Cricetulus griseus: one gene and its partners. The protein of the gene in region 4 interacts with the protein of the main gene of each other region in a pairwise test. Links are inferred from orthologs where the notes say so. Each region holds a gene or a part of one and is shown on either strand. Other genes may lie near its edges. The genes, in order: Dhx15, Ppp1r12c, Qrich1, Rbm17, U2surp and Sf1.

Evidence for each region.
Region 1: the proteins of Rbm17 (region 4) and Dhx15 interact in binary tests that used the Homo sapiens proteins (3 or more experiments, as listed by UniProt). The link is inferred for Cricetulus griseus from reciprocal best matches to the Homo sapiens genes RBM17 and DHX15.
Region 2: the proteins of Rbm17 (region 4) and Ppp1r12c interact in binary tests that used the Homo sapiens proteins (3 or more experiments, as listed by UniProt). The two-hybrid records come from large-scale screens. The link is inferred for Cricetulus griseus from reciprocal best matches to the Homo sapiens genes RBM17 and PPP1R12C.
Region 3: the proteins of Rbm17 (region 4) and Qrich1 interact in binary tests that used the Homo sapiens proteins (3 or more experiments, as listed by UniProt). The two-hybrid records come from large-scale screens. The link is inferred for Cricetulus griseus from reciprocal best matches to the Homo sapiens genes RBM17 and QRICH1.
Region 5: the proteins of Rbm17 (region 4) and U2surp interact in binary tests that used the Homo sapiens proteins (3 or more experiments, as listed by UniProt). The link is inferred for Cricetulus griseus from reciprocal best matches to the Homo sapiens genes RBM17 and U2SURP.
Region 6: the proteins of Rbm17 (region 4) and Sf1 interact in binary tests that used the Homo sapiens proteins (3 or more experiments, as listed by UniProt). The link is inferred for Cricetulus griseus from reciprocal best matches to the Homo sapiens genes RBM17 and SF1.

Annotation. Positions count from the first base shown.
Region 1 is NW_023276807.1:120,435,333-120,439,908, reverse strand, and holds part of Dhx15 (pre-mRNA-splicing factor ATP-dependent RNA helicase DHX15), read left to right. Parts: intron 1-3,067; coding exon 3,068-3,503; intron 3,504-4,576.
Region 2 is NC_048602.1:23,185,639-23,190,921, forward strand, and holds the start of Ppp1r12c (protein phosphatase 1 regulatory subunit 12C), read right to left. Parts: upstream 3,186-5,283; 5' UTR 3,098-3,185; coding exon 2,726-3,097; intron 1-2,725. UniProt on the Homo sapiens protein: Regulates myosin phosphatase activity.
Region 3 is NC_048597.1:216,711,340-216,715,915, forward strand, and holds part of Qrich1 (glutamine-rich protein 1), read left to right. Parts: intron 1-2,102; 5' UTR 2,103-2,123; coding exon 2,124-2,432; intron 2,433-4,576. UniProt on the Homo sapiens protein: Transcriptional regulator that acts as a mediator of the integrated stress response (ISR) through transcriptional control of protein homeostasis under conditions of ER stress.
Region 4 is NC_048596.1:228,375,403-228,380,720, reverse strand, and holds the start of Rbm17 (splicing factor 45), read left to right. Parts: upstream 1-1,933; 5' UTR 1,934-2,099; intron 2,100-5,318. UniProt on the Homo sapiens protein: Splice factor that binds to the single-stranded 3'AG at the exon/intron border and promotes its utilization in the second catalytic step. Involved in the regulation of alternative splicing and the utilization of cryptic splice sites.
Region 5 is NC_048597.1:204,089,399-204,093,974, forward strand, and holds part of U2surp (U2 snRNP-associated SURP motif-containing protein), read right to left. Parts: intron 3,173-4,576; coding exon 3,054-3,172; intron 1,605-3,053; coding exon 1,428-1,604; intron 299-1,427; coding exon 160-298; 3' UTR 1-159.
Region 6 is NC_048596.1:52,991,041-52,996,182, forward strand, and holds the start of Sf1 (splicing factor 1), read right to left. Parts: upstream 3,106-5,142; 5' UTR 2,786-3,105; coding exon 2,755-2,785; intron 1,253-2,754; exon of another isoform or gene 1,248-1,252; coding exon 1,119-1,247; intron 1-1,118. UniProt on the Homo sapiens protein: Necessary for the ATP-dependent first step of spliceosome assembly. Binds to the intron branch point sequence (BPS) 5'-UACUAAC-3' of the pre-mRNA. May act as transcription repressor.

The DNA of each region.
Region 1 (4,576 bases), on a different chromosome or scaffold from region 4:
GATTTTTTTCACTCATAACCACACTGTTAGCCTTCCCATTGGTTGCATAGGTGCAGCTCCTGTCTTGCTCAATAATGTTAAGTAACTTCACAGGGTTTTGTTATTTTGTAGATGAAAAACATTAGCATCTGTGTGTATATGTATATATTAACACGTGCCTAGAAGTTCTGAAAGTGAGATTGTCAGAAAAAGCAGTGTTTATATAAAATACTCTGATGTAGATGACTAGTTTACATCTTTATTGGCAATATACTTGTGCCTGTTACTATTCCATGTACAATTTAAACTGAGCCATCAGCAGTAACCAGTATTCGTTGGTACAGTTCAGATAGGCCAGAGAACATTATCCCAGTATTAGCTTATTTAATGTTATTAGTTCTGTATCAATAGACAAAACTTGCATGTGAGCAAGGAAACACTGACTGTTCTTGATAAATGTCATAGTGTTGACTAAAGAACTATTTAGAGCTTGCTTTGTCTTTCTTCTGAGACAATGTTTCTCTACATCGCTCTGGTTATCCTAGAAACTCAACTGTGTAGACCAGAGATCAGCCTGCTGCCTCTGTCTCCCAAGTTTTGTGGTTAAAGATGTGTACTTCCACACCAGTATTGTTTTTATTTTCTTTAAAATTAAAAGTGTTATGCTTAACTAGCAAATTCTTATGAGAAAAACTTTTTGTAAGTGCCCTTTTTAAACAAGAAGCTGCATATGGACAAGTCTACCTATGCTTGGAGAGGGACTTAAAAACTTACCTTTGTCATTCAGAGTAGCTAGTGTGAACTGCAAAACTAGACCATTGAAGTAGTTTTCTGCATCCCAAATGTTTTCTTCATCACTTTGCTGAGTTTTAGGCCTTTTCTGTGGTTTTTCAACTGGTTGCCTTGCCCCTCTTTTTTGGGGGTGATGTTAAATTCTCACTTTATTCGTCATCGAATCCTTGTGTTTTGTATTCTATTTCTTTCTCTGATATAGTAATGAAGCTGTAGGTGAAATGTGTCCTGGAAAAGGTGTGTGTTAGTGTAGGTGTTAATTTTTCACATAACATTATGTGGATTGCTTTGTGTAGTATCTCTTCACCCAGGTTTGTAGTTTTGGAAAGGTTAGGTTTGTATCTTAACTGATTCCATACTCTTAAATATGGAAGATGCTTGTTCAGTTTCTTTTTGTACTTTATAACAAAATGATAGCTACAAATGTAAACCCTTTTTTAAACTTTTCTGTGTGTGTATATGTGCATGCGTGTGCTCATGCCTGCCCCTGTTGAATACATTGCCCAGTTAGTTGAGACACTGCTGATTGTGAAGCTGTTTTTTTTTTTTTTTTTTTTTTTTTTTTTTTTTCCTGAAGCTGACCGTTTTTTTTTTTTTTCAGCTAGGCTGGCCTGCAAACTCTGAAGATCCACCCTCACCAATGCTGGGTTACAGGCACCACAAGGCCATGCCTAATTTAACAGATTTGAACTCAGGTTTTCTTGCTTTCACAGCAAGTGCTTTTACCCACCAAATCACTAGGCCTGCAAAGGTATCCAGTCCTTGAGCTGTTTGAGTCTTTCTTTGCTTTATAAACTTACATTTTTGATTTGATATCAATGCCCAGTTAAAGAGCACTTAAATGAGAAGCAAAAGTAGCAATGAATGTGATATATTTCAAAGATAAGGCTCAAATTTGAAATTTTAAGACTTATATCCCTTCCTCTCTCCCTCCTTTGGGGGACTGTCTCTAGGCAGGTTCATCTGTGTAACAGTCCTAGCTGTCTAGGAATTCTCTTTGTAGGTCAGGCTGGCCTTGAACTCAGAACTTCCTCTGCCTTCAAGTGCTTGGATTAAAGGCGTGTACCACTATGGCCTGGTTGTTGTTGTTTTGTATTTCTTTTTTGTTTGTTTGTTTGTTTTTGTTTTTCAAGACAGGATTTCTCTGTGTAGCTTTGGAGCTTATCCTGGCACTCAACTCTGGAGACCAGGCTGGCCTCGAACTCAACAGAGATCTGCCTGCCTCCCAAGTGCTGGGATTAAAGGCGTGCGCCACCAATGCCCAGCTGTTTTGTAGTTCTTAAGTAATCTTTTACCTATATAGTTTTGATTTCTTTGGGTTTTGGGTGGCATGTGAGGATTTATTTCAGCTTTATGTTGTATTTTTCATAAATCTGTAGTGGGTAGTTAGGATGGGAGAAGTCACATTCTAATAGGGCTTTTCTTCCCTGCAAGTTTGTATGGAATAGAGTCCCATATTTTATGAACAGAATCAGATACAATTATCAACTTACCAGTGCTGTGGCTGAACGATTCTCATTCTGTGCTGTTTAGTAAGCATTTTAGTTGTATTCTGCTTAAGGTTTTTACTGTTTCTCCTCTAAAAGACTGTGGAGAGTGAATGCGCTTTCCTGCTGTACTGTACAGATACTTGTGTCACAGGAAATGAACTTTATGTGTTGTAAGTAAAGAGCAATGACAGATTTAGGGGTTTGTTTCTGTTGTCTCCACATTGCCTCATTGTTTTAGTCCAGGTCAGAAAACCTCTTGGCATTTTGTGATATATATATGAGTTGAATTTACTCCATTAGGATTATCTGTTGTAGATACCAGAAATGACTAAAATTATCCTTAGTTCAGTAGAAATTACTTAATTTTTACAACAGTTCTGTAGTCTGTGAACTTTGTTTTTAATTTGACTACATTTCATTTTGATTCATCAAGGTGTGTATAGATTTATAGTGAACGATCCACCTGCCTCTGCCTCCTGAGTGCCTGACTTGGTTTTTTTTTTTTTTTTTTTTAAGTTTTATTATATTACATCTTGTGTTGAGAGCTGAGAAGAGTTGGTCCTCTCCTATCACCATGTGGGTTCTGGGTATTGAATTCAGACTGTCAGGCTTAGGCTCAAACCTTTATCTGCTGAGCCATTTTGATGGTCTTCCTATCAGTTATTAAGGTTTTAGAAGGATGGAACTAGAGACCTTGTCTAGTAAAGAATTTTCTTGGTGGTGCATGAAAAATCCGATCATTTCTAATAATTCGTTGAGATGTTATACACATAATCACTCTGATTTTTAAATTTTTATATTTCCAGGAAAGACCGGGATAGAGACCGGGATAGAGAAGACCGATCTAAAGATCGTGACCGAGAACGCGATAGAGGAGATAGAGAACGGGAGAGGGAGAAAGAAAAGGAAAAAGAATTGAGAGCTTCCACCAACGCTATGCTTATCAGTGCTGGATTGCCTCCTCTAAAAGCTTCTCATTCAGCTCACTCAACCCACTCGGCTCATTCAACACATTCTACACATTCTGCCCATTCAACACACACTGGGCACGCAGGACACACATCACTTCCACAGTGCATTAATCCGTTTACTAACCTGCCCCATACGCCTCGATATTATGATATTCTAAAGAAACGGCTTCAGCTCCCTGTTTGGGAATACAAGGATAGGTTTACAGATATTCTTGTTAGACATCAGTCATTTGTACTGGTTGGTGAGACTGGGTCTGGTAAGACAACACAGGTGAGTTGTTAAATACTATGGTAAATATGTTATGCTAGTGTTTAAATTTAACTAAATGTGCTGGTTTGGTCATGATAGTCATTTTCTATTTCTCTGTTCATTTGCAATTGTATGTCGTGTAGAATATCCTGAAGAAGAGTTCTTTGGCGAACGCTTTTTAGTGACTTAGGGTGTTATTTTAGTAAAGAGGGTTGATTTCTTAGTCTATACAGGAAAATAACTGCTATCTTCTCATCTTGTTATTCTGAGTATAGCAGGAAAACTCTGGGACAGTAGAAATTAGGAGTACAAACTTTGTTTTCTAGTGCTTGAGTGGAGAGATCTGAAACATTGGGGTTGTTTTCTTTGTTAAAATATTTGAAATATAGCTGGGCATTGGTGGCGCATGCCTTTAATCCCAGCACTCGGGAGGCAGAGGCAGGTGGATCTCTGTCAGTTAGAGACCAGCCTGCGCTACAAGAGCTAGTTCCCAGGAAAACCTCCAAAGCCACAAAGAAACCCTGTCTCAAAAAACCAAAAAAAAAAAAAAAAAAAAAAAGAAAGAAAGAAAGAAAGAAAAGTGTCAAAAATTGAAGTTTCCAGTAATGCTAGCTCATACCTTTTGATTCCAGCATTTAGGAATCAGATAGACAGGTCTCTGAATTCAAGGCCACCCTTGTCTACATGATATCCCATCTTACAGAAAGAAAAAGATTAGAAATGCTACAAAGGTGCAAAGTCTCTAGTTGTGACCTGTAGCCACTTGCCTTCCCAGCCCCATATAGTACTAAACAAGGTTACAGATGTCTCATTAGTTGCCTGTAGTTTTTAAACTGAAGAAGCCATGACTTACTAGACCCTGTTGATAGATAATGTAGCCTGTTTTTGTTTTTTGTATTTTATTGCATCTATTCATATGTATATGTTGGGGTATGGGTGCGCCCAGGCCCTAGCACATGGGTGGTAATCAGGCTAACTTGGGCGAGTCCTCTTCATGACAACAGGTATTTAGGATTGAACTCAAGTTGTCAGGCTTGTTTACTTGCTGGGCATAGGCTTTGTTTGCTAGCTTTGGATTTATTATAGTTGTAATA
Region 2 (5,283 bases), on a different chromosome or scaffold from region 4:
GGAACCACTGAGTCTAGGGAGGGGGTTAGGTCCGGACTCCTGGTCCTCATGAAAATTAACCCCCTTCTACAAGCGCGACCATCTGGAGAAAGAGGGAAGGAAGCTACGAGGGCCAAGTGCATGAAGTCATGGAAATTTAGGCTGGGGGGGGGGGCACGTGCCCTGGGAACGGGATGAACTCTGGGCTTCACTCTGGGCTCAGTTTATTTCCACCCTGTTGTCATGGTGATGGGAGGGGGGGCAAGGAGGCAGATGGGCCTTTCCCTTTCAAGGACCTGGCCGGGTACGGGCATCCATGTGAAAGATGCCTGAGGCTGGGCACTGGGGACCCAAGAATCCTCCTCCCTCAGATGTAGAACTCTAGCCAATCCTCTTTCCTTAGACCCAGGGATCCAGACTTGGCCCTCCTCCCTCAGGCCCAGGTGCTAGGGCTCCCCATCTCTCCCCTGCTCAAACCTAGGACTCTTAACTCCCAGCCCTACCTACTCCAGACCCAACTCATAGCCATTATTGGACAAGGCAATTACTGGACAAGGGAAAGAGGAAGGAATGTCCCTGCCGTGCTAAGGCAGAGGCTGGGGCTTAGGAAATGTCATTGCAGGAGGCTGATGCCTCAAGGAGGGTCTAGAACCGGAAACACTAAAAAGTCTGAGGTGTAGAAATCACCACAGACTGGGTGAATGAATGCCCCTGCTTTCCTGGGACTGAAACTAGTTCCAGGAGTTTTCACTGCTGAAGCCAGGGCAGTGGTACTAGGAGGTGATGCTACGTACGCACCACTCCAAACCCCAGCCCCCTCTGCGTTCTGGCCCTGAAAGCCAAATGATCTCACTGAATCTGATCTCCAGTCTCCCAAGCCTCCTGCAAAGGCCTGAAGAGTCAGGTCACCAAGGTGTCTGCATGGCGGGAGGAGAGTCCCACCTGGAAGGCTGACACGTCAGGCCTGAGGTCACAGGTTCCTGTCAGAGAGGATGCTCTAGGGACCTCCAGCAGATGCAGAGGAAGGGGATGCAGTTGGGAGGGAACGCTTGGGAGGGCCAGGGACTTTGGTGATCAGACGCTGACACCCTGAGTGTGGCCTCGGGAAAACAGGACCCTGCTATATATAGAGGACGATGTCCCACACAGCTCATGCAGGTCCCATAAAGGAAGTTTTCCACAGGACACCTCTCACCATAGAGTCCCTCTGGGGACAGGGGTGACCACTGGTCCCATTCTACAGGTAAAAAAACTAAGGCGCACCGAGAAAAGACACTCAAGATACAAGACACAAGAAGCAGACTGACACAAAAAGTCAGCACGGACTTTTTTTGTTTGGTCAAGATTTTGCAACTGAGTTTCATGTGGGCTATCAAGATGGCCTCAAAGTCACTGTGTAGATGAAGGTGACACTGAATTCCAACCCTCCTGCCTCTACTTTCCAAGCACCTGATTTCTGTGGTATTGGGGTTGGAACCTGAGGCTTCCTGCACTTAGGCAAGCACTCTGTCTAAAAGACAGCCCAGCCCAGGACAGACGGATTCTGTTTTTCCTCTGCCTGGATGAGTGAAACACTGAACCTTTATTCCCCACCTCCACGAGAATCCTAGCAAGAGGAGGGCAACCCAGGAGATGGAAGTTGCCATGAAAGACTGAAAGTGAACCAACACTGTGGCCAGGAGGAGGAAGAACGGGGATGGGGGCTCTGCTGTGACTAATCTTGTCCCTGACGATGCCAGCTTTTGGATGACGGGGAGATAAAAGCATCCCGAATCCAGAAGGATCCCGGCAATACAAGATGGTCCTCACTCTCGGGGCACAGATCACTGGAAAAAGATAATCACAGTGTCTGAGTCGCCCAGGGTCCTGGTGGGGTAGGTTCTAGAAGGTGACAGGGTGGAAATCTAAGAGACAGGGCATAGTTTTTAAAGCAGGATGCTGCCCAAATATAGTCCATGGGGTGGTAGGTGGAGTGGGCATGCCTGTAATCCCACAAATGAGGGGGTCAGAGACACAGGACCTGTATTTGAGGTTGGCCTGGGCTACACAGGGGAAAAAACAAAAAACAACAACAAAAACAAAACCAGAGGAGCGAGAAATAGGGCTTGGAAGACCGAATGCTTAGAAGTTTCCAGAAAGGCAAATCAATGTGGACACAGAGAAAGAGAGACAGAGAGAGAGAGAGAGAGAGAGAGAGAGAGAGAGAGAGAGAGATGAGGAGAAACCTATGGGGGGTGGGGGTGGGTGGCAAGATCACCAAAAGGGGATGAGCCGAGAATTGAATTAATAGGACATGGGGAGGGGAGGAAGGTTATGGGATGGGGCCCAACAGACGGTGGAGCGCCTCTTCTCCAGGGGAACAAAGGGGTACACTGCCTTGGAGGGGCAAAGGACCCTCCTGAGGCCACAGCGGACAGCACGGGTCACAGGAAGTGGGGTAGGGAACAAGGTGGACCCCCCAAAGAAGTGACACTGAAGGGCCTGGGCCTGGCTAGCCTCGGAGGAGGGAGTGGGGGGGGGGGTGTCAAGTCCGAGCTGGGCCCTGGAAGCCTGCGGCACAGCCAGGGCAGCCACCAGCCTGGAAAGGCTCGGGGTGTAAGCCATCCGTGTGCGGAAGACGCCGCCGGGGAGAGCGGTGACAGCGCGGATGACAGGGGCGAGGCGGCCCCTGCAGGGCAGGAGGCGGGGAGGGAGGAGGGGTGGCTCGGGGGGCCCCGGGGAGGGAGGATGCCCGGGGGCCGCTGACCTGGTGCAGGGCGCTGATGCCGTCGGCGTTGGTGGAGTCGAGCACCGCTCGGGCAGGCGGCGGGACGCCGGCGTCCGATTCCCCGCTGGCGCCGGGATCGGGGCCCCCGGGGTCCCCGGGATCCCCGGGGTCAGCTGCGCGAAGCATCAGGCGAGCCTCATCCAGATCGCCGCCCGCACAGGCCGCCAGGAACTCGGCGGCGCGCTCGAAGCGCACGGTGCGAGCACGACGCTCCCCGGGGCCCGGCTCAGCCCCCGCCCGCGCCCCCCACCGCCGCAGCTGCTCCTGCCGCCGCTCGCGGGCTGCCGCCGCCGCCGAAGACGACGACGACGACGACGACGACGACGCCCCGGGGCCGTCCTCGCCCGACATCGCGCCCCACACCGGGCCGCTCGCCCGCTCACCCACCGAGCGAGCGAGCGAGCGAGCTGAGCGAGCGCCCGCCCGAAGGCCGGCCGGCGACGAACAGCCGCCACCCGCCCGCTCGCTCGCTCGCCCGCCCGCCCGCCAGCCCCGGGGGCCGCCGGGAACCGCCGCCGCCGCCGCCCCGCCACAAGCACCGCCCCGAGGCTCAGGCTGGGCCCCACCCCTCCCCCCCACGGACGGGCGTTGACGTCACGACGCTGCCCCACAGCCCTCTGGGAAATGGAGTCCTCCGTTGAGAAGCCCGCAGGGTTTTTTCAGCAGACTCGCTAACTGCTGAGGGAACGGTCGGGGTGGCACGGAAGCCGCCAGCAGGCGCGCCTACAGCCCCCAGCACCTTAGAGGCAAACTGCTCTCTCGAGTTCGAGGTCAGCCTGGGCTACAGAGGCAGTGCCAGGGTAGCACCAATTGCCTAAAGCAGGACACGCCCCCCCCCCCGGGAATGCTGGGAATCTGAGTTTAGAGGCGGGACGGGATGCCCGGGGGGATGCTGGGAGGTGTAGTTTTTTTTGGTAAAGCGGCGCAAAGGATGGCGCGTGGGAAATGATGGCGTGTAGCGGAACCCGAGAGACGCAGAAATAAGACTCGCGTACTTTCAGTTGTGTTTTTGCTGTGAGATGGGTTTGCCCTCGAGCTCGCTGTGTGACTGCGATTGTCTGTTTTAAACTCCCGACCTTCCTGCCTCCGTCTCCTAATTGCTGGGGTTGCAGACGTTTGTTTGGGTTTTGTTGGTTTGGTTTGGGTTGGGTTTTTTCTTGGGGGCGGGGGTATTTTGTTTTTTTGTTTTTGTTTTGAGACAGCGTCTCACTATGTAGCCCTGCCTGGCCTGAAACTCGCTACGTAGACCAGGCTGGCCTCGAACTCATAGAGACTCCTCCCCCCACACTTCTGCCTGGTATGAAGGGGGCGCCACCAGGTCCGGCTTGTTTTGGTTTTGTAATCTGCCCCTCCCTCCCCATCAACACCCGATGAAGAAGGACAAGGATTTGTGAATGAATGAATGAATGCATGAGTGCATGAATGAATGGGCCCCCCAAGACGTCGGGGAGACCAGAGGCCCACGGGAAACTGAGTCCTGAAACCAGATTAAACACCAATCGCCGCCAAACTCCTCTGGGTAACTAAGGTTCCCGTGCAAAATCCAAGGGTATCGGGTAGCATGGGGCAAGCTGGGAAATGTAGTCCCAGGGCCACGCCTCCTAAAGAGTTCAGCCCCCAGACTTCCAAAACTGCCTGAGATGCCAAGGTACCCCGGAAAGTCAGTTTCCAGATGAAGACAAGCCTCCGGTCTCCAGCGGTAATCCCTTGAGCACCCGGGAAGAAGGGTCCCCAAAGAACCACACACTTCTCCTTAGCCCACTCGGGGCTGCGGGGGACGCTAGGAGATGCTCTCCCGGCTGCATCAATGCTCTCCTGGAATTCTGGGATCGGTAGCACAAAATGTGATGCTCCGATAGGTTTGGAAGTTTTGTTAGTAGACCCAACAGATAAAAGAACACCTTGATCTTTCAAGAATCTTCCCCCACCCCCACCCCCAAAAAATGCAATTTGAGAAGGACAGAAACACTTTGAGACAGGAACACAGACTCACACACACACACCAAAGTAAAACAGAAAGCTGTCAAGTTTATAGAGAGAAAACACACGTCTGCTTAAGGGTCGTTAGGGCAGCCTAACTGTGACCCTTGGATTTGTGAATGAAAGATAAATTACAGACCCTGGCAGAGTCTAGGGAATAACGACCATAAATCCAAAAGGATAACCCTGTGGTTTTTAAGATGTGAGATCACACACACACACACACACACACACACACACACACACACACACACACACCATTCTTCCCCAAGGCAAGAAATCAGATATTTCAACCCCTGGGGTCCAGAAGGAAGGAGATCGCTGACTCCAAAAACTGTCTTCTGATTTCCACCATGGATTTCCACACACACACCCTATCAACACACACACTAAATAGATGTTTATAAAATGATCCACAAAATAAGGCTACACCAACACACAGAGGTAAGACTGTTATTAGACAGTTTTGGTCTGGTTGGGTTTTTTTTTTTTTTTTTTTTTTTTGAGTAGCCTTCTCCTGTCCCATTTCTCATGCCTCTACACACACCTGGCCTCTG
Region 3 (4,576 bases), on a different chromosome or scaffold from region 4:
TGGCTCTTTGTTCTTGCTAGATGGTATACATAACTAACTCTGTACGATACCTAGTAGTGGAAATAAAACATTAATAGGGCCAAGTGGCCAGCTTAAGTTACATAGTGAGACCCTGTCTCAAAAAGCAAAGAAAGACATGTCAATAAGTATCTGCTCCTTACTCCCCTCCCCTTGTTTGGTAGTCTTTTTTGTGATGATAAGAGAAGCAGAGTCTCACTCTGTAGACCTGACTGGCCTGTAATTTCCTATGTAGACTACATTGGTCTGGCTCCCAAGTTCTGAGACTAAGAAAGGTATGTGCCACCAGGCATGGCAGTGAGTGACTTTGCTTGCCACATGACTGTCCTAATTCTTGTTGTAGAAGGGATGTGATTGGCCTGGTACTGGATGGAAAATGTCATTTCAGCCTGTTCTGTCTAGTACTTAAAGAATGTGTTTTGAGTTTTGTTTTAGTGTGATAGTTTGGTTTAAGAAATGTGGAAGGGAGCTGAAGAGATGGCTCAGTGGTTAAGAGCACTGGCTGTTCTTCCAGAGATCCTGAGTTCAATTTCTAGCACCTACATGGTGGCTCACAGCCATCTGTAATGAGATCTGGCCTGCAGGGATACATGCAGGCAGAACACTATATACATAAAACATAAATAAAACTTAAGGGAAAAGAAAAGAAATGCTGAAGAAAGGCATATTACACTGGCTTATACTTGTAATCCCAGCACAGTGGTTAAGAGCACTGGCTGTTCTTCCAGAGATCCTGAGTTCAATTTCTAGCACCTACATGGTGGCTCACAGCCATCTGTAATGAGATCTGGCCTGCAGGGATACATGCAGGCAGAACACTATATACATAAAACATAAATAAAACTTAAGGGAAAAGAAAAGAAATGCTGAAGAAAGGCATATTACACTGGCTTATACTTGTAATCCCAGCACTCAGAAAGCTGGAGGAGGAAGACTACCTTAAATTCAAAACCAGCCCAGCTACATAGAATTGTAGATGTGTCTATACATTATCTTGTATGTATACTACTGATAATAATGAGAAATCTAAACATTAAAAACAATACCGCCAGGCGTTGGTGGCACATGGCTTTAATCCCAGCACTCGGGAGGCAGAGGCAGGTGGATCTCTGTGAGTTCGAGACCAGCCTGGTCTACAAGAGCTAGTTCCAAGACAGCCTCCAAAGCAATACAGAGAAACCCTGTCTCGAAAAACCAAAAATAAAAAAATAAAATAAAAACAAAAATACCTCACAGAGGCCAGGCATAGCACTCTCAAGGCAGATGTAGGTGAATCTCTCTGTGGGTTTAAGGCCAACCAAAACCAAAGGTTCATGGTGAGATCTTACCTTTTTTTTTTTTTGAGTTTTCAAGACAGGGTTTCTCTGTAGCTTTTTAGACCAGGCTAATTTTTTGTTTTGTTTTTTGAGACAGGGTTTCTCTGTAACAGCCCTAGCTGTCCTGGAATTAGCTCTGTAGAGCAGGTTGTCCTCGGACTCACAGAGATCCACCTGCTTCTGCTTCCCAAGTGCTAGAACTAAAGGCGTTTGCCTCCACTGCCTGGTATAAGATCCTATCTTGTAAACAAACAAAAAACCCTACAGTTTATTTTGGGGGTAGGGAAAGATGGTATAATAAAACATTTATTTGGAATATACACACATTCCATTTTCACTGTCATTGTGTCTGTGCATTTCAAGACACATAAACAGTGGGGTTTGCCTGGCATTGGTGACACATGCTTTTAAGCCCAGAACTCGGGAGGCAGAGACAGGCGGAACTCTGTGGTTTCAAGGTCAATCTGGTATTCAAAGAGTTCCAGGACAATCTCTAAACCTTCAGAGAAACTCTTGTCTGGAAAAAACAAAAAACAGTAGAATGGTTGGTAAGATGGCTCAACAGATAAAGCCATCTATTGCAAACCCGATGACCTGAGTTTGATCCCTGAGATCCACATGGTGGAGAGAACCAACTCCAGTGGGTTATCCTCTGACCTCTACACGCATGCCTTGGCATGTGCATGCTCCCCTCCCAATAAATCAATGTTAAAAAAAAATCAGCAATGTTAACAATAGCAAAATGTTGACTGTCCATTTTAATTCTAGGAACCCTAAGGACTCTGCAATATGAATAATTCTCTGGAGAACACCATCTCGTTTGAAGAGTACATCCGAGTGAAGGCGAGGTCTGTCCCGCAACACAGGATGAAGGAATTTCTGGACTCACTGGCTTCTAAGGGACCAGAAGCTCTTCAGGAGTTCCAGCAGACTGCTACCACCACCATGGTGTACCAACAGGGTGGGAACTGCATTTACACAGACAGTACTGAAGTAGCTGGGTCTTTGCTTGAACTTGCTTGTCCAGTCACAACCAGTGTTCAGCCACAAACTCAGCAAGAGCAGCAGATCCAGGTTCAGCAGCCACAACAGGTTCAGGTAAGAGAAAATATTTAGTTGAAGCCTGTTAGTAAACTTTTCTCTCACAGGTTTTGGTAATTACAATATACCTATACAGATATTAGAAATGTTGGAAGTTATTTAACCAAATGGGGAATTCTCCCCCCTCCCCCCAGGGTTTCTCTTTGTAGCTTTGGAGGCTGTCCTGGAACTAGCTCTGTAGACAGGCTGGCCTCAAACTCACAGAGATCCGCCTGCTTCTGCCTCCCAAGTGCTGAAATTAAAGGTGTGTACCACTGCCCAATGGGGAGAATCATTCATATTTAATGTGGATTGATGATATCTTTGGTCACAGTAAACTATAAAAACTGCACAGTAAACTAAAAACTGTAGGTACTTGCTGTTTGCTTTAGAGAGCACAAACTACAGAAAGTAGAGGCTAGCAATGAATTTGGATGTGACAACTTCTGTGATTGGGTCTTTCTTTCTTTCTGTGGACAGTCTGAGCAAAAAGCACAGAAAAGCTAGTTTTGGCTCATTGTGGAAAGTGGCATTTGGAACTTGCTTTAAAATTAAAACTGATATGGTGATCTTAATTTAGCTTATACATCTCAAATAACCTATAGATTTCTAGGTTGGCATTTTTTAAATATTTATTTATTATGTATACAATATTCTGCTTCCACTAGAAGAGGGCACCAGATCAGATGGTTGTGAGCCACCATGTGGTTGCTGGGAATTGAACTCAGGACCTATGGAAGAGCAGTCAGTGCTCTTAACCTCTGAGCCATCTCTCCAGCCCCTAGGTTGGCATTTTCTACCTGTTAGCCTCAGATAATGCTAACATTAAGCTTACTCAGAATGGAGGAATGAGCTGGGCGTTGGTGGCGCACGCCTTTAGTCCCAGCACTTGTAGGCAGAGGCAGGTGGATCTCTGTGAGTTTGAGACCAGCCTGGTCTACAAGAGCTAGTTCCAGGACAGGCTCCAAAGCCACAGAGAAACCCTGTCTCAAAAAAAAAAAAAAAAAAAAAAAAAAAAAAAAAAAAAAAAACAGAATGGAGGAATGAATACAATGGCTGATGAGACAAAGTTTTTCTTTTTGGGGATCTCTAGATGAAACAGTAGTCTCCTCCGAGTAGTTTTCTTGGCATTGTATTGTGGCAGGGTTTCATTTTACTTGGGATGCATGAGTGTGAGGGTGTCAGATCTCCTGGAACTGGAATTATAGACGGTTGTGAGCCCCCATGTGGTGCTGGGAGTTGAACTTGTGTCCCCTGGAAGAATAGTCAGTGCTCTTAACTGCCTAACCATCTCTTCAGCTCCACCCCCCCCCTTTTTTTTTTTCTTTCACTTTTTAATTTTAGAGAAACTAAGTTTCCTGAGGAAGCCAAGCTGGATGGGTCTGCTTACTTCAGGTTCCTGAGTAGCTAGCATTACAGATCTGAGACAAAATACAGCTTTAGGGACTGGGTACCTACTACTTCCGGATGTGTGCCATGTGTTTATGCACTCCTCTCCCCCACATCATATACTCAGGATAATAATTTTATTTATTTTTTTGTTGTTTTTTGAGACAGTGTTTCTCCGTGTAACAATCCAACTGTCCTGGCACTCGCTCTGTAGACCAGGCTGGCTTTGAACTCAGAGATCTGCCTGCCTCTACCTCCCAAGTGCTGGGTGCACACCACCACACATGACGATAATAATATTTTTTAATTTAAATAACTTTTCACTTATTTTACATACCGACCACAATTTCCCCTCCCGTCCTCACCACCCAGTCACCCCCCCATAATTTTTTTAAAATTAATATTGTATATAAATACTTGAAGACATATGTTTTGTTTTTGTTTTGTTTTGTTTTTGTTTTTCCGAGACAGGGTTTCTCTGTGGCTTTGGAGACTATCCTGGAACTAGCTCTTTAGACAGGCTGGCTTCAAACTTACTGAGATTCGACTGCTTCTGCCTCCCTGAGTGTTGGGATTAAAAGGCGTGCACCACCACCACCCGCTTTGAAGATATAATTTTATTTAGTTTTGTTTATGAATGACATCAGATTCAAACATTGGCTAGTAGTATAACAGTTATTGTGTACTTGCTAATTTCTGTTCTTTGGTGATGGTAATCATGTTTATTTATTTTGTTTTTTTTTTTTTTTTTTTGGTTCTTTTTTTTAACTAAT
Region 4 (5,318 bases):
GTATCATTATATACACTACACAAAGTCATAATCAAACTGTAAGTTTAGGCAAATTGTCACCTTAGCTAAGTTGTTTTCCTCTGAGCACTCAGCCCTTTGTTGGCCCCCTTCACACCAGCCTCCAGTTCCTGTCCATTTTTTATGCCAGAGCATTTGATCTACCCATCTCCCTTCTGGCCCCAAATGTCCCTTGGTCTTGCTTTCTTCTGCAGCATCTGACATGCTAATATTTTGTTTCAGATTAATTAATGTCCTATTTTTGATTAATGCTACCATTTACTTCCTGCTGTTCCCACCCGGGGCTGCTGAACACTGCTAGGAAAATTTACGGGACTTGTATGTGCTGGGGTGCTCTTGTACACTTGCTCTGCAGCTCACCTCTCTCAAACTGTCCCTTATTTAAAAAAAAAAAAAAAAAACAAAAAACAAAACAAACAAAAAAAAAACCTCTCATTTAAAAATCCTGTGTTTACCAAGCGGTGGTGGTGCATGTCTTTAATCTCCAGCATTCAGGAGGCAGAGGCAGGCTGATCTCTGTGAGTTCAAGGCCAACCTGGTCTACAAAGTAAATTCCAGGACAGCCAGGGCTACACAGAGAAACACCAAAACAAAGCAAGCAAGCAAACAAAGTCAAAACAGACAAACAAAACAGATGGAAGCCTATATAGTCATTTGATTTTAAAATCTTAATTTAAATTATTTTATTTTATTTTATGAGTATAGGTGTTTGGTCTGCATGCCACCTGTGTGCCTATTGCTCCAATCCCAGGATTCCATGGGACTGGAGTTACAGATGGTGGTGAGCTGTACTGGCTAGTGAACCAAGGTCCCCTGGAAGAACAGCCAGAGCTCATAACTTCTCTCTTTCTCCAGCCCCACAAAAACAAAATCTCACCCATCCTGGCGGGTGGGGGGGGGGTTGGGGAGAAGAGAAAGGTAGAGCAGGGAGGGAGAGAGGAAGAAAACACTAATTCCTCTTTCCTATTTATTATTTCCTGTGGTGTTTGCTGTAAATAATGAGGTTATGCTATTTAGTGCATAGATTCCCCCCCCCCCTTTTTTTTCTTCATTAACAACCGTGCTTTAGCCGGGTGGTGGTGGCTTACGCCTTTAATCTCAGCACTTGGGAGGCAGAGGCAGGCGGATCTCTGTGAGTTCGAGACCAGCCTGGTCTACAAGAGCTAGTTCCAGGACAGCCTCCAAAGCCACAGAGAAACCCTGTCTGGAAAAACCAAAAAAAAAAAAAAAAAAAAAAAAAAAAAAACCTGTGCTTTAAAATTTTCATTTAAAACTTTTGTCTAGAAATCAACATGCATACGGTGTTGTTATCTGATTTCCTTATAATTATCAGCCATAAAGTGGTACATCTTTTCCAATTACGAAACTTCAGGATCTATTTGAGCAGTTTCTTGTATATCAGATTTTAGCTGACTATAATGTTTGTATGTCCATTTGTGCTGAGGTCCATCTAATCCTCCACAGTTTCATCAGTATCAAATAATTTTCACACCCAACTAAAGATGTGGGAAACACGCTTACACAAAGCCCGGGTTTCTCGGACCTTCCTTTTGTCTTTCACTTCATTTTTTTTTTAAAGAGCGTTTACATTCTTCTCTGAAGCCCTAATCTCAGAGTGTTTTACAGTGCCATTCTGCAGCATATCGCCTACGGAGATTCATTCCCAGATTTTAGTATATAAAGGAAAGGTTGGGAATGAATAACTAGAGCCTAATAGGAGATTCTCAACCCTCTTACTCTAAAGTCACGAACCGCACGGAATTTCAAAACCGTGCCCCAATAGCGACATCTCATGGTGAAATTAGAGGCGGGCAGAGGGTAGGTGCAGTGTAGTCCTCCCGTCGGCAGGGTGCAGTGCGAGCCGGGCAGTGCCGCTTTGCTTCCTCGAGTCAGGCGCAGGCGCAGACGTGTGCTCCCGGCAGCCTCCGCTCTCTCACCCCGCGCGGTGGGATCACCCTGCGGAATCGGCCGAGGGTGGGCACCGCGGCGGGCTCCGGCGGTCGGCGGGCTTCCGCTCAGGGCGGCTGGGCTCCGCGCTGCCGCCGCCGTGGCCCATGGGCAGAATCGTCTCAGAAGGCCGGGTGAGTAGCGCCGTGGCGTCCTGGCCAGGCGGTCTGATCCGGAACGGAGACTTGTGTGAGCGCGCCTCCACGGATGAGCTGGACGCGAGGCCGCGGCTCTAGGCCGCGCCGTGAGGGGCACGGGGATGCGGGCGCGACACCCCGAGCTGCCTAGGGGTTCCTAGCCCTCCGCTGCGGACCCCTTCTGCCTGCCGTGCTCGGCCAGACAACCCACATCTCCTCCATCTGTCTTGATCGCCTTGACACTAAGAACGTACCTTCTCTTCATGCCCTGTGTCCGGGACCCAAGTTGTTGGGTCGCTAGACCCCAGTAACCCGGAGTGCGTCCGGCCTCAGGAGTGGAGGGGCAACCCTTCCCCCCAACTTGTTTCCTTCCACAGCCCCAGAAATAAGGGTTGAAGACGGTGTCTCACCTAGACTGGTAAAGGCAGTTGTAAATCCGGCATCCTCAGCTCTGTATTAAGGGGAGTTTTAGCGTTCGTGTCCATCCCCTAGTTTTTGAGCTTAATTTGCTTGGGCTAGGTGTGCTGTGAATGGGTGCTACAAGTTCAGTGACCTACTTCTCCAAGAGTTACAGCTCTTAAGAAACAGGCTTGAAAACCCAGGCCTGGGTTGATTTTTAAGAACTGGAGTACAATCTGAAAAGACCTGGAAGAGGAGCTGATGTTTATTGACTTTTAGAGGGGTTTTATTAGAAGTGCAGGAGTGGAAAGGCAGCAACAGCGAAAACACCGTATTCTGCAGCTTAAGGCAGTTAAGAATGATTCAGAGGGCTGAGCACCCTTTGTTAAGTCAGGAAGGGTGCACCGTTGACATTAAATTCTCCTTGGTAAGGATACATGAGGATGGCAAGTATGATTTCCTAAGATTCTGCTTGTGATCAGAACGATGAGGACTGTCTCCCTGCGACAGGTGGCTCTTTTGAATCATGCCATACGGAACACACATACTGGGATGAGCTGTAAGCATTTCGGGATAACGATTTATACTTAAATATGAATAATCTAGCCCGGGGCGATGGCACATGCCTCGAATTCCAGTACTTGGGAGGTGAGGGCAGGAAGTTCAGGGGTTCAAGGACAAGCCACCTGTAGAAATCAGAGGACAACCTACAGGAATCCCTTTTCTCCTTCTACCATGTGGGTCCTTATTGACCCCTTATTTGTTACTACATTTCACACATCCCTCCAGCAGGGAACAATTTACTTCAGTAGTAATTCTACGAGTCTTTGAGAACAGTAGTGAAGCCTGCTGTCCTGTGTGCTTATGTTACCAATGTCTCCAGTTAGTTTTTGATAGGCTCTGGCCTATGGTATTTTGGTAATTTTGATGGGAAATTTAAATTGTCAAAGATGGCGTAGTTGCAGACAGAGGGGACTAAATAATTTTGTAAAAAGTTATCCTTAAGTCCTGTATAAGATATGATTGTGTCCTACAAGAGCTAGTTCCTGAACAGCCTCCAAAGTCACAGAGAAACCCTGTCAAAAAACCAAAAACCAAAAAAAAAAAGTGATTGTGTCTCATGTTGCCAGGGGGTAGGCTTGGGATGGTTATCAATTTGACTGCCTCTGGAGTTAACTGAAACCCAAATGGCTGGGCACACCCAGCTAAAGGGACTTTCTTTTCCCTTAATAAAGTAATTTGAAGTGGAAAGATCCACTTCTAATCTGGATCTTTGAGGTGGGGAGACACACCTTTAATCCAGGTCTTTTGAGGTAGGAAGATCTACTTTAATCTGCTGGCAGCCTCTATGTGGAAAAAAGAAGTTGCCCTGCCTGTTGGCCCTTGCTTTCATTAGCAAGTGTATTCCTTCACTGACATTAGAGCCTACAATGTATACTGAAGACCAGCGAAGACATTCAGCTTTGTGGACAACTACTGAACTCTGAATTCTTGAACCTTCGGTTTGTAGGCAGCCATTGTTGGATTAGCTAGATCACACCTATAAGCTATTCTATCATTCTATGTCTGTTATATAAATTCATGTATGTGAATATATTCATTCTGTAAGTTCTGTTCCTCTAGAGTCTAGAGAACCCCAACAAATACAATAAAGTAGGCTGACCAAAGGGTACATTGCCATAAAAAATGAACCGGGAAATGGCTTAGTAAATTGCTTTTGGGTAAACATGGGGCCCTAAATTGAGATCCCCAACACCCATGTAAAAATTTCTCCACAGGAGTACATGCCTATGATCCCAGCTCTGAGGAAGCCAAGACATGAGGTCCCCAGGGGCATACTAGGTAGCTTGTCTTGCCGTGTCAGTGAGTTTCCAGTTTGATAAGAGACCCTGTCTCAGAAAAATAAGGTAGATGGAAAGTGACTGTGGAAGACTCTCAGTGTCCATCTCTGTTCTCCGAATGAATATGTATACATGCATCACACACACACACACACACACACACACACACACACAGTAACCGAGCACAGTGGTGAAGGGTTGTAATCTCAGATGCTCATAGTTTGTGTGCATTTGACACACATGAATTCACTTAACACATTTTACATCATAAAGGCCAATTTCTGTTTGTATTTACATTTGAGTCTTGATTCTTATAGTATTATGTCTAAATATTAGAAAATGCTGCTTTTTATTAGCTAGTATCAGACTTCATGAACTGAATGTGTTATGTAAGTGATACCAAACCATTTTAAGTTTGGATCTTGACAGTCTCCTTAATGTATTTGTTAACTTCACTCAGTGTTTTGCTGTGTTTGTAGGGAGATTAAATGGCTAACCTGTGGTATATTCATAAATGCTTAAAATAGCCAAAATGTAAATATACATGCCTTAAAAGGTTCTTTGCAGGCAAATTATTTAAGATAAAAATCAATGGAGTGATAGAACAGCATTCAGGGAAAATCACAGGAATGGCTTGAGGAGCCTAATGATTTCCTGACCAGGTGCTGCCTTCTGTTTTAGTTGGTGAATTCACAGGAGCTTGTATTAGTCGTAATTGAAGTAATCAGTATTTATGCAAGCATTCTTTTACCATGATAGTCCAGTTCTGTAAACATAAAGGTCATTGGAAACCAGAAAGTCAAAAGAATATTCTTCATATCTACTGAGATGTAAAGATGTAATTTCATGAACTGTTACAGAAAACTATCAAATGCTCGAGAGATGACAATGGTTTCTAATACTTAAAGCATTTTTTAAGGCAAAGGAGAGCTAGTCGGATCACATGGAATTGTCAACAGACCATCTTCAGTTTAAA
Region 5 (4,576 bases), on a different chromosome or scaffold from region 4:
TATGTATGTATGTATATGTGTGTGTGTGTGTGTGTGTGTGTGTGTGTGTGTGTATGTTTTTTATTAAAAAACAAAACAAAACAAAAAAAAACAAACAGACCATTCAGGCACAAAACAAACTTGCATTTCCAATAAGTGACGGCATCTTAAAAATATATGTCAGTGTTTGTTTTTCTTTGACTTTTTATGAGACCTGTGAGGAGACCGGGACTGGGATCTGGATTTCTTCCCTGATTTCTTAGGCGACCTAGACCGAGACCGCCTAGACCTTTTAGGCGTCCTTGAACCTGATGGCGACCTGAAGAAATAAACAAACAAGAACAATGTCAAAGCATTTGGCTACCAAAACTGCTTACACTCTTACCTGGCTTAAAATGAGCTTCAAGTGGGCATGTAAGTCACTAATAAAACAGCAAACTCAAATTTACTCACACAGATTTATTTTGTACTTACCATTTATGTGTGATCAGAAGGATATTTGTTTAAAAAGAAATTTCTGAGTTTTACTATTGCTTTATAGAGAATGTGCATTTTTATTAAGTTCCCCAGGTAACTGATACCCCCAAAATTTGAAATTGTAATCCACAAGATAAAGTTCAAGGTGACAATTAAGACATTCACACAATTTTAAAAGCACAAAAGCTGTACACTCTGTAATTTTGAGGGGGAAAAAACTCCTACTCCAGGTCATCATTTAAAACAACACAATTTTTTGTTTTTTGTAGGCCTAGCTGGCCTCTGCCTCCCAGGTAGCAGGATTAATGTCATCTGCACCCCATCTGGCGCCAGTAATTTTGCTAAGTTCTGTTCATGAAAGTTTCCCAAACAAAAAAAATACACATACATATACACCTCCACACACATATGAGTATGTATGGTCTTAAACAGGAGAAAGACTTCACAGCAAATGGTTACAATCACGAAGTATTAGCACATAAATTCAGGTGCAGCTCAAGAAAATTTCCCTCTGTGACATCAAATACATTTATTTAATTCCACTTTTGTGGAATTAAAAGGCTTAAATAAAACAAAATATCAAAGTGCATACTGAAGAGCTGATCCAAATAGTATTCTATTTCCTTACCCACACACTTACTTCTGTGGGGTAGATTATTCCTTTTCATCAACTTTGACAAAATCTAAGGCTATTTATTATACAGAAATAAAGACTAGAATGAAAAAGGAGCACCCCATTCCCAACAGTGGACATGTGAAAATCCTTGGCCAGTCTTTAACTTGCTGGAATTATTCTATACTTGAAACATGACAAAAACTGGAATGGGAATGAGAGATAACCCAAAATAAAAGTACATTTCTCTGTTTTTCTGAAATCTTTAAAAAAAAAAAAAAGCCAACCACATTATTTCCAAAGCTTGTAGAACTCTTAGTTAACTGGTGACGATAACAAAAGGGTGACTTGCATTTACCTTTTGGCTTTCTTGCTAGCATCTCTAGGAGAATCTTTGTGAGATGACCTGGACCGTGAGCTTTCTTTATGAGATCTTTCTGACCGTTCTGACCGTTCTGATTTTGGTGATGGGGATTTCACTCGCCTACCACTGCTACTCCGAGATGGGCTGGGAGAAGTACTGTGTCGCCTTTTCCTACAAAACAAACCACATAAAACTCTGTAAGTGACAAAAAAAAAAAAAAACACTTAAGTATTCATTTTTAATGTCTACTCAATTTGCTCCTAATCACTCCTAGCTTACACTAACTTAACTCTCACTATTCATACTAATGCTACTTCCCAATGACATTCGATGTCCCTTATTTCATCAAGTAAATCTTAAGACAGCATGCCCAAAAAAATAAGTGAATTCAATGAAATTCAATTTTCTTTTGCTGTTAAGAGATTACTAGGAAGACAAAGAAAACCTGACATTCTGAATTGGGTTACAATGGAGGTTTATTTTTTCAATGCTAACTTCTTTTTATTTTTTTTCCTTTTGGTTTTTCCAGACAGGGTTTCTCTGTAGCTTTGGAGGCTGTCCTGGAACTTGCTCAGGAGACCAGGCTGGCCTCGAATTCACAGAGATCCGCCTGCCTCTGCTAACTTCTTAGTGTGGCACTTTTAGTGAAATTACATGACTCAGGAAACTGGGCTCTATACTGACCAATTATAGTTAACAAGTTGGAGGTGAAGTAGAAAGGGAAGAACTAAAAAGAAAAGTAGAAGCACTTTAGGAGGTGGAGCAATTGGATGAAAAGTACATGGGGATTATTTACAACTTCTATAAAACTGAAATTATATCAAAATAATAAAAGACAAAAAAGTGCCATTTCTTTGTTAACCAATCTGTATAATTTTGCTATTTATAAATATACAGAGTGATTAAGCCAGGTTTCTCATTTGCAACCACTTGGTGTTTATAATGTGGAAAACTTCGATTCTGTTCACTGAAGTAACTGCTTCACTACATTAGACATTTAAAAACTATAAAAGTAAGAAACACAGTCCAGTGAGGTGGCTCAGCAAGTAAGAACACTTAACCTGACTTTATCCTTTGGAATCTACATAGCAGAAAGATAGAACCAACTCTCACAGTTGCCTTCTGACCTCCACAAGAGCACAATGGCAGGTACATACATACCCTCACACAAAATAACATTCACACACTAACTAAAACATTAAAAATATGAAACTTAAAAAGTTGGAACAAAGGACTTAACATGATTAGCAAGTCACTGTAGCTTGTACACACAATCTCCTTCAAGACGGAAAAAGGATGCTTAGAGTAGAGTCGACAGGCAGATATAGCAAGTTGTTATTTAAGACATAGGGTTGATACTCGATAGGGTAATTGAATTCCTGCAGTGAATTAAGGCTAAGAATACCATATGAACCCAAGTAAAGACATGATGTCCTAATTAGTTAGGCCAAGTGGCAACTAACCGAGCCTATCAGCTAACTCTGCTTCCTAGAGGCAGAAGCCAAACATGTTTATCGTGAAATCCACTTCTGGTTTGTTGCTACTGATGACAGAAATAGTTTAAAACCAAACAGCACTTCAAATCTTGAAACAAAGCAGATTAACTATGACACGCCATACCTTTCTTTTCTTGTTGGAGTACATTCATCTTTCTCCTTCTTGTCTTTGGATCGAGATTCCAATTTTTCTTTATCTTTTTTGTCTCTTTCACGTTCTCTTTCTAATTCTTTCTCCTTTTCCTGTTTTATTTTTTAAAAAAAATATTGAGTTGTTTCTTAAAAATGTCATCTAGACTATCTTATGTATCTAATCATATTTTCTCATTTAGAAATTTTTAAAATAGTAATTAAGGTAAGATATCATTTTCAAAAATACCCTTTCAGGCAATAAGCCATTTTTTATATACAAAATCATCATCACCCTTCTTGTGCAGCAGCAAAGTATTTACTGAGGGCTGCTAATCACAGCCCAAACAAGACAGTTACAATTTTCCATATACCATATCATCCTGTGATCTTTTACATTATTATCACTCTCAATCTAGACAAGAAAACCAGACTCAGAAATGACCATGGTTTACCAGAGAAAATCAGGAATTCAGTCTAAGAGCTCCTATCCCTTCATCTCTACCACATCAAAATGAGGAGGGGAGGGGAGGGAAGGAAGGAAGAAATGAATCAGGAAAAGCTAGCAAGCAACACACTGACCTTCATCAGATTGCAAGAACCTAGTTATAAAAGCAATTCTGCCTGTATATAGCAGGTTCACTAAATGGAGTTCTCACCAAAGTAATTATAAAAGGAAATGTAATCCTAACTTACAAACTGATTATATAGTAACATATTTATATAAACCAGAAAAATAACTGCTTATTTATCCCTAGTTGTCCTAACGAATATTTTTCAATAAAAGTCTAATTTCTAGGGGGCTGGAGAGATAGTTCAGTGCTTAAGAGCACTGGCTGCTCTTCCAGAGGTTCTGATCTCAATTCCCAGCAACCATATGGTGGCTCATAACCATCCATAATGAGATCTGATGCCCTCCTCCAGGCATGCATGCAGAACTCTCTATATATAATAAAACTTTAAAAAAAATTAATTTCTATTGATGGTAGAATAAAGTAGTGGCTAAAGATATTTATGATTGGCATGCATCAAAAACGTTATCTAACTGCTGCTTCTCATTTTTAAAAAGTAAGAAAATCTTATAACTAGACACAGGCAAACTTTTTACAGAGCCAGACCAAACACACTTGCGGGTTATATACAGTCCTTTTAACAACTACTCAACTGTATTTATGCAGCAAAAAAAAAAAAAAAAAAAACCACATAGACAACACTTAGGTGAAGAGGCATAGCTTGACCTTCAGCATGGGCCTGGCAGAAACAGAATCTTGTCTCCAATTAACACTCATGGAATATAGGGGGCTAAAATAGTAACTGACCTAGTTTTTAGTTTGTTGCCACTGAGATGCACAGAGCATTTCAACATGTAAACTTCCATAAACACTACTAACCTGATATCATCACCAAAAACACTCAAAAGGGTACAGACAACTAGTACCATTTTAAATAATGTAATTTATCTTTTTCCCAAATACATCACAGAATACAAATCTAAAGAGATACAAAGGAGACCAACTT
Region 6 (5,142 bases), about 180 Mb from region 4:
TAAGAGTTGGATAAGAGTAAACAGCAACAGTGAGAAAAAGTAGTATTAGTAGTACTGTGACAAGAAGACAATTCCAACGCCTTAAAATTCTCAGCAATCTAAAAACCAGGAAATGAAGACCCTCCAGATTTAGACCACATTGGCCCTGAAGCTATGTTTGTGAAGGTCACAGCTTCATGGACCCACTAGGTTTCTGCCCAAAGAGGATGTTTATTTGGTTAGTTGAAAATGTTTATCAAGTGTACTTTTTAAGACAGCTGGACAGACATATATAATTTGTATGAATGACCTTGGTTTCTAAGTAATTTTGAGGTTTAATTTCAATTCAACTTAAATTTTTAAAATCCTGCCACCACCTCATTTCAAATCAAACAATAAACCCTTCCCAGTAGAGTTTTTTCGTGGTTTTACAAGAGCCTTCATTATTTATTTATTTATTTATTTATTTATTTTTGAGACAGGGTTTCTCTGTAGTTTTGGAGCCTGTCCTGGAACTTGCTCAGTAGATCAGGCTGGCCTTGAACTCACAGAGACCCTCCTGTCTCTGCCTGCTGAGTGCTGGGCTTAAAGGCGTGTACCACCAACGGGCTAAGAGCTTTTATTTTTAAGACAGCTCTCTAAAGACCAAACAAGATGCTGAAGGGAAGGATTAAATTCAACAAAACAGTAAAAATGGGTGAGCTGTAAATACTTTCAGAGCCACTTTTTGTTTGAACTGTTTTGTAACCTATAAAAAAAAGCAAAACCACATTTTAGGGAAAGGGAACCATGACATTATGATGAAAGGCCATGTTACAAAAAAGGCACCTGGTTTACAAATACCTGCAGTGTTCTCCACTGGGGCCTGTCCAGAGAGGCAGATAAGCATGCACCTCATCAATGAGCAAGAGCAGCTGAGAAGTGGGCTGCTTAGTAAGGCCTATGTGCTGCTGAGAGCAGGCCCAAACAAGTTACAAATCCAGGACTGGCCATGCAAATCACAGTTTACACCAAAGCTATAAAAAGCACACCTGATCACACCTTGTCCCAAAACTAAAACCTCAGACTTTCAATAGATTTGTCCTCAGAATAAGCAGTCACAATTTGAAGATGCACCTGGATGCAGAACGTGTATTTACCTATATAAGCTCTTTCTTGTTCCCGAGTCAGTCCAGGGGGGATAACCGTGGGCATGCCTGGAATCACTGTCTTTTGTTCCATTGTGTCTTGGTTCCACCGGCTCCTCTTCCTCTTCTTACTTGGGAAGTCTAAAGACAGACAGAGCCCATCAGGAGGAAACACGAACCATGAGAGTGACTACCAACAGGCAGTTCATGACAATTAAGACTAAAACAGAAATCCACCTAAAATTTAAAAAGAAAGGAGCTTCAGAGGTCAGAGAGGAATACAAGCAGACATAAAGGTATCTGGTCCTGTCAGAGAAGTTAATGAACACTTCACATTTATATTCTTTTTTCCTGGGAAAACTTGCTAGAGAATGTAAATACAAGGAACAAATTTTCTCTTGTGGTGCTGGGAACACCCAGGTCGTGCAAATGCTAGGCAAAGGCTCTACACTACTGAAGCACACCTATTCTGTCTGTCTCCCTGTCTCTGCTGGGATTAAAGGTATGAGCCACTGCACCCTTGCTTCCAATTCTTAATAGTTCTAAGGAGATGTACATCAATTCTGGAAGCTCTAAACGGCAGTAAAGTTGGACAATCAGATCTACAAAGCAGCAGATTAGCTCCAAAGGAAAACAACACCCAAAGCTCTTCCTACATATCACTAAGTGAAACGTCCCATCCTTCAGTAAGACCATGCTCACACGGCAAGACCAGCATTCAGTTTTTCTGACCAGTGGACACCTGTCATCAGAACTCTGATGTATCCAATTCTTCCCTACATTTACCACACAAGGTTTTCTACTTCTCAGGATTACAGGCCAGGGGAAAAGTCTTTTAAATCAGCACGGGGAAAGATGGTCACTCAAAACCTTCTAGAAAACAAAAAGAGATAAACAGCCTTAAAAAGAAAAATCGAACCCAAGCATCACCACAAGTCTTCCAAACTGGCCTTATTGCAAAAAAAAAGAGACACTCTTGACACGGGACTGGTCTCCCTTTCAGGTTCCTAAAACCGTAAGGGGGACCCCTCACACCACATCGTTACGTGGACTTTCTTACACTCTCCTGTATACACCAGCTCAAGGGGCAACAGGTGGCCTCTTCAAGCCCTCAGAATTGCGCCACAAAGCCTGAACGCCTCATTGCGTCTGCGCAATGGACGCTTCCTCCCGCCCGTCTTCCTCTCAGAGGGCGCATGCGCACTCGGAGCTTCCCAAACCAGGCCGCGCGTACCCTGGGGCGCGTCCGCCCGGGCCTCCCGTGCACGCGCTCGCGCTCGCGTCCTTGCCGCGTGAAACCTCGGTCGCGTGCCCCTCCGCCGGCCGGCCGGCCGCTCCGGTCCGGTCCGCGCGGCGCTCCTCGCGCTCTATCGGCCCGACTCACCGCCACCACCGCCGCCGCCGCCGCCGCCGGACGGGCCCGGCTGCTGGTCCTGGCACGGAGGCGACCCTCGCTGGAAGAGCGGCGGCGCGGGGGCGGCCGCAGTGGAGGGTTCCAGGCCGGGGGCGGCGGCGACGCCACCAAGAAGGCCGCCGTCAGGGCCCCCAGCGATCCCACCGGTGGCAGCGGCCCAGGCGCCAGCGGGCCCGGCTCGAAGCCGCCTTTGGGCCCAGAAAGCGGGGGGAAGGCCTGAAAGGCCCAGCTTACCCAGCGGCGTGGCGTTCGCTCCGGTCGCCATGGCGCCCCAGGGGACCGGCACCAGCGGTTCCTCGTCCTCGGCGGCGGCTTCTCCTTCGCGAACCTTCCGGGGGGGGAGGGGACCCGACTACGCTGCCGAGGAGCGCGGGGAGCCAGTCCTCTCACGCGGCGGGCGGCGGCGGCGCCAGACGCACAAAGAGGGAGGAGAGAGGATGCCGCGGGGGCGGTCTGAGGGCGGCGGGACCGGGGCCTGGATTGGGCCGGCCCAAGGTGAGGTCGGAGGCAGCGGCCTCCGATTGGTGGAGCGCTAGTCCTTTTCGATACGTGTCGGGATTGGCCGAACCGTTAGGCCAGGCGACGAAATGGCGGCGGGGCCGGGTGAGCTGGGAGGTGTCGCAGCGCGCACCTCATTTGTTACTGCGCGGACTGAGCGCCCAGGCCGGAGGGGCGGAGATTAAGGTGGGGCAAAGTCTATGACGTAGAGCGAACGGCTAGCTCATTGGCTGGAGTTGATGGAGTCCCGCTCCTCGGCGTCGTAATGCCTCGGGATTGGCTGAAACGACTCCGCTCCCCGGGGACGAGTTGCTCGGGAATCGAGAAAGCCCGGAGGAGAAGCCCGAAGGAAGATCGGGGGAGGCGGGGAGCAGGAGGTACGCATGCGTGGTGAGGCCCGGCGGCCTCTGTCCCTCCACCAGCGGGGCGGGAGCGGAAGCTGTAAGTGACGTTAGTCATTGTGCCTGAGGTAACCAGGAACCGCCGCGGGCAATGGGCGGGCTCGAGTGAATGAACCGGATACGTCGGCGACGCAGGTAGAGAACTTCCTGTTTTCTTTAGAAAAATAAAGTTACGGAATAGGGTAGTTTTTTGTTTGTGGCTTAATTTTTGGTTTGGGTCCTTTTGTTATTTTTGTTTGTTTTGTTTTTCGAGACGTTTCTCTGCGTAGCCTTGGCTGTCCTGCCTCTGCCACCGCGAGTGCCGGGCGTTGGTGGTGCACGCCTTTTATCCCAGCACTCTGTTGACAGAGGCAGGCGGATCTCTAAGAAATTAATACCTAAAGTGATAGAACAAACCATATAACCTCAGATGAAAGACAAGGTGGCCACCTGAGTATTTGAGAGGTTGAGACAGGAGAGCTGCCATGATTTGGGGCCTATCCTGGGATAGAGTATATCTGTGCCAAAAAAAAAAAAAAAAAAAAACAGGCTTAGTGCCATATGCCTGCAATCTTAGCTCTTGCAAAGAAAAATCAGGAGCTCACAGTCATTCTTAGAAACAATTCAAAAGTTTTTTCCATCGTAATCAGTGTGTTGGGAATTTGACTAAGTTACCTTAAAAGTATATGACCATGGAAATGCCTTCTCATAAAGTAAACATAAGAGCAATGAAACAACTTTTTTGCAGGAAAACCCAGTAACACAACAGAATATAATTGGGAATAGGATAATCACAAAGCTGATTACTTCAACCCAGTAGAGAGAAAGATGTTTAATAAATGATGTAGAAGGGCTGGAGAGATGGCTCAGCAGTTAAGAACACTGGCTGCTCTTCCAAAGAACTGGGTTCAATTCCCAGCACCCACATGACAGTTCACAACCACCTGTAACTTCAGCCCCAGGGGATCCAAAGCCCTCTTCTGGCCCCACAGGGACTGCATGCATGTGGTACACAGACTTACATGCAGACAAAATACCCATGTACATTAGACAAAATTTTAAAAATGATGTAGAAAAAATCTGAAAACACGTAGACAATTTAGAAGATGTGGGGTAATCTAGGAATCTAGACAAGAAACTCAAGACAAGAAACTCAAGACAAGAAACTCAAGTATGCTGTGTGGTACAAGTCAACAGGTCGTGGCAGATTAGGGAGGAAATTGCCATGCAACAGAGAAGGAGCAAATGTCTGGCCTGAGAATACACATCAGTGGTAGAGCTTTTGCATATCACATGCAACTTCCTTGATTCTACCTCTAGAACTGCAAAAATAGAAGAAAAACCAAATGTCTGTAATACCCACAGAAGCCTTCAAGACTAAGTAGAGGAATGGCTAGAGAGATGGCTCAGTAAAGAACGCTGGCTACTCTTCTAGAGGACCTGATATCCACATATCAACTAACAAACATGTCTCTCCTGTTCAAGGGATCGAGACTCCCTCTTCTGAACACCTCAGGCACTGCTTGCTCACAGGTGGTGCACAAACATAACATGCAGGCAAAACACCCATACACATCAAAAATTTTAAAAACTAAAACTGGGCCAGGCATTGGTGGCACACGCCTTTAATCCCAGCACTCAGAAGGCAGTGACAGGTGGATCACTGTGAGTTCGAGGCCAGCCTGGTCTCCAGAGCAAGTGCCAGGATAGGCTCCAAAGCTACATAGAGAAACCCTGTCTCGAA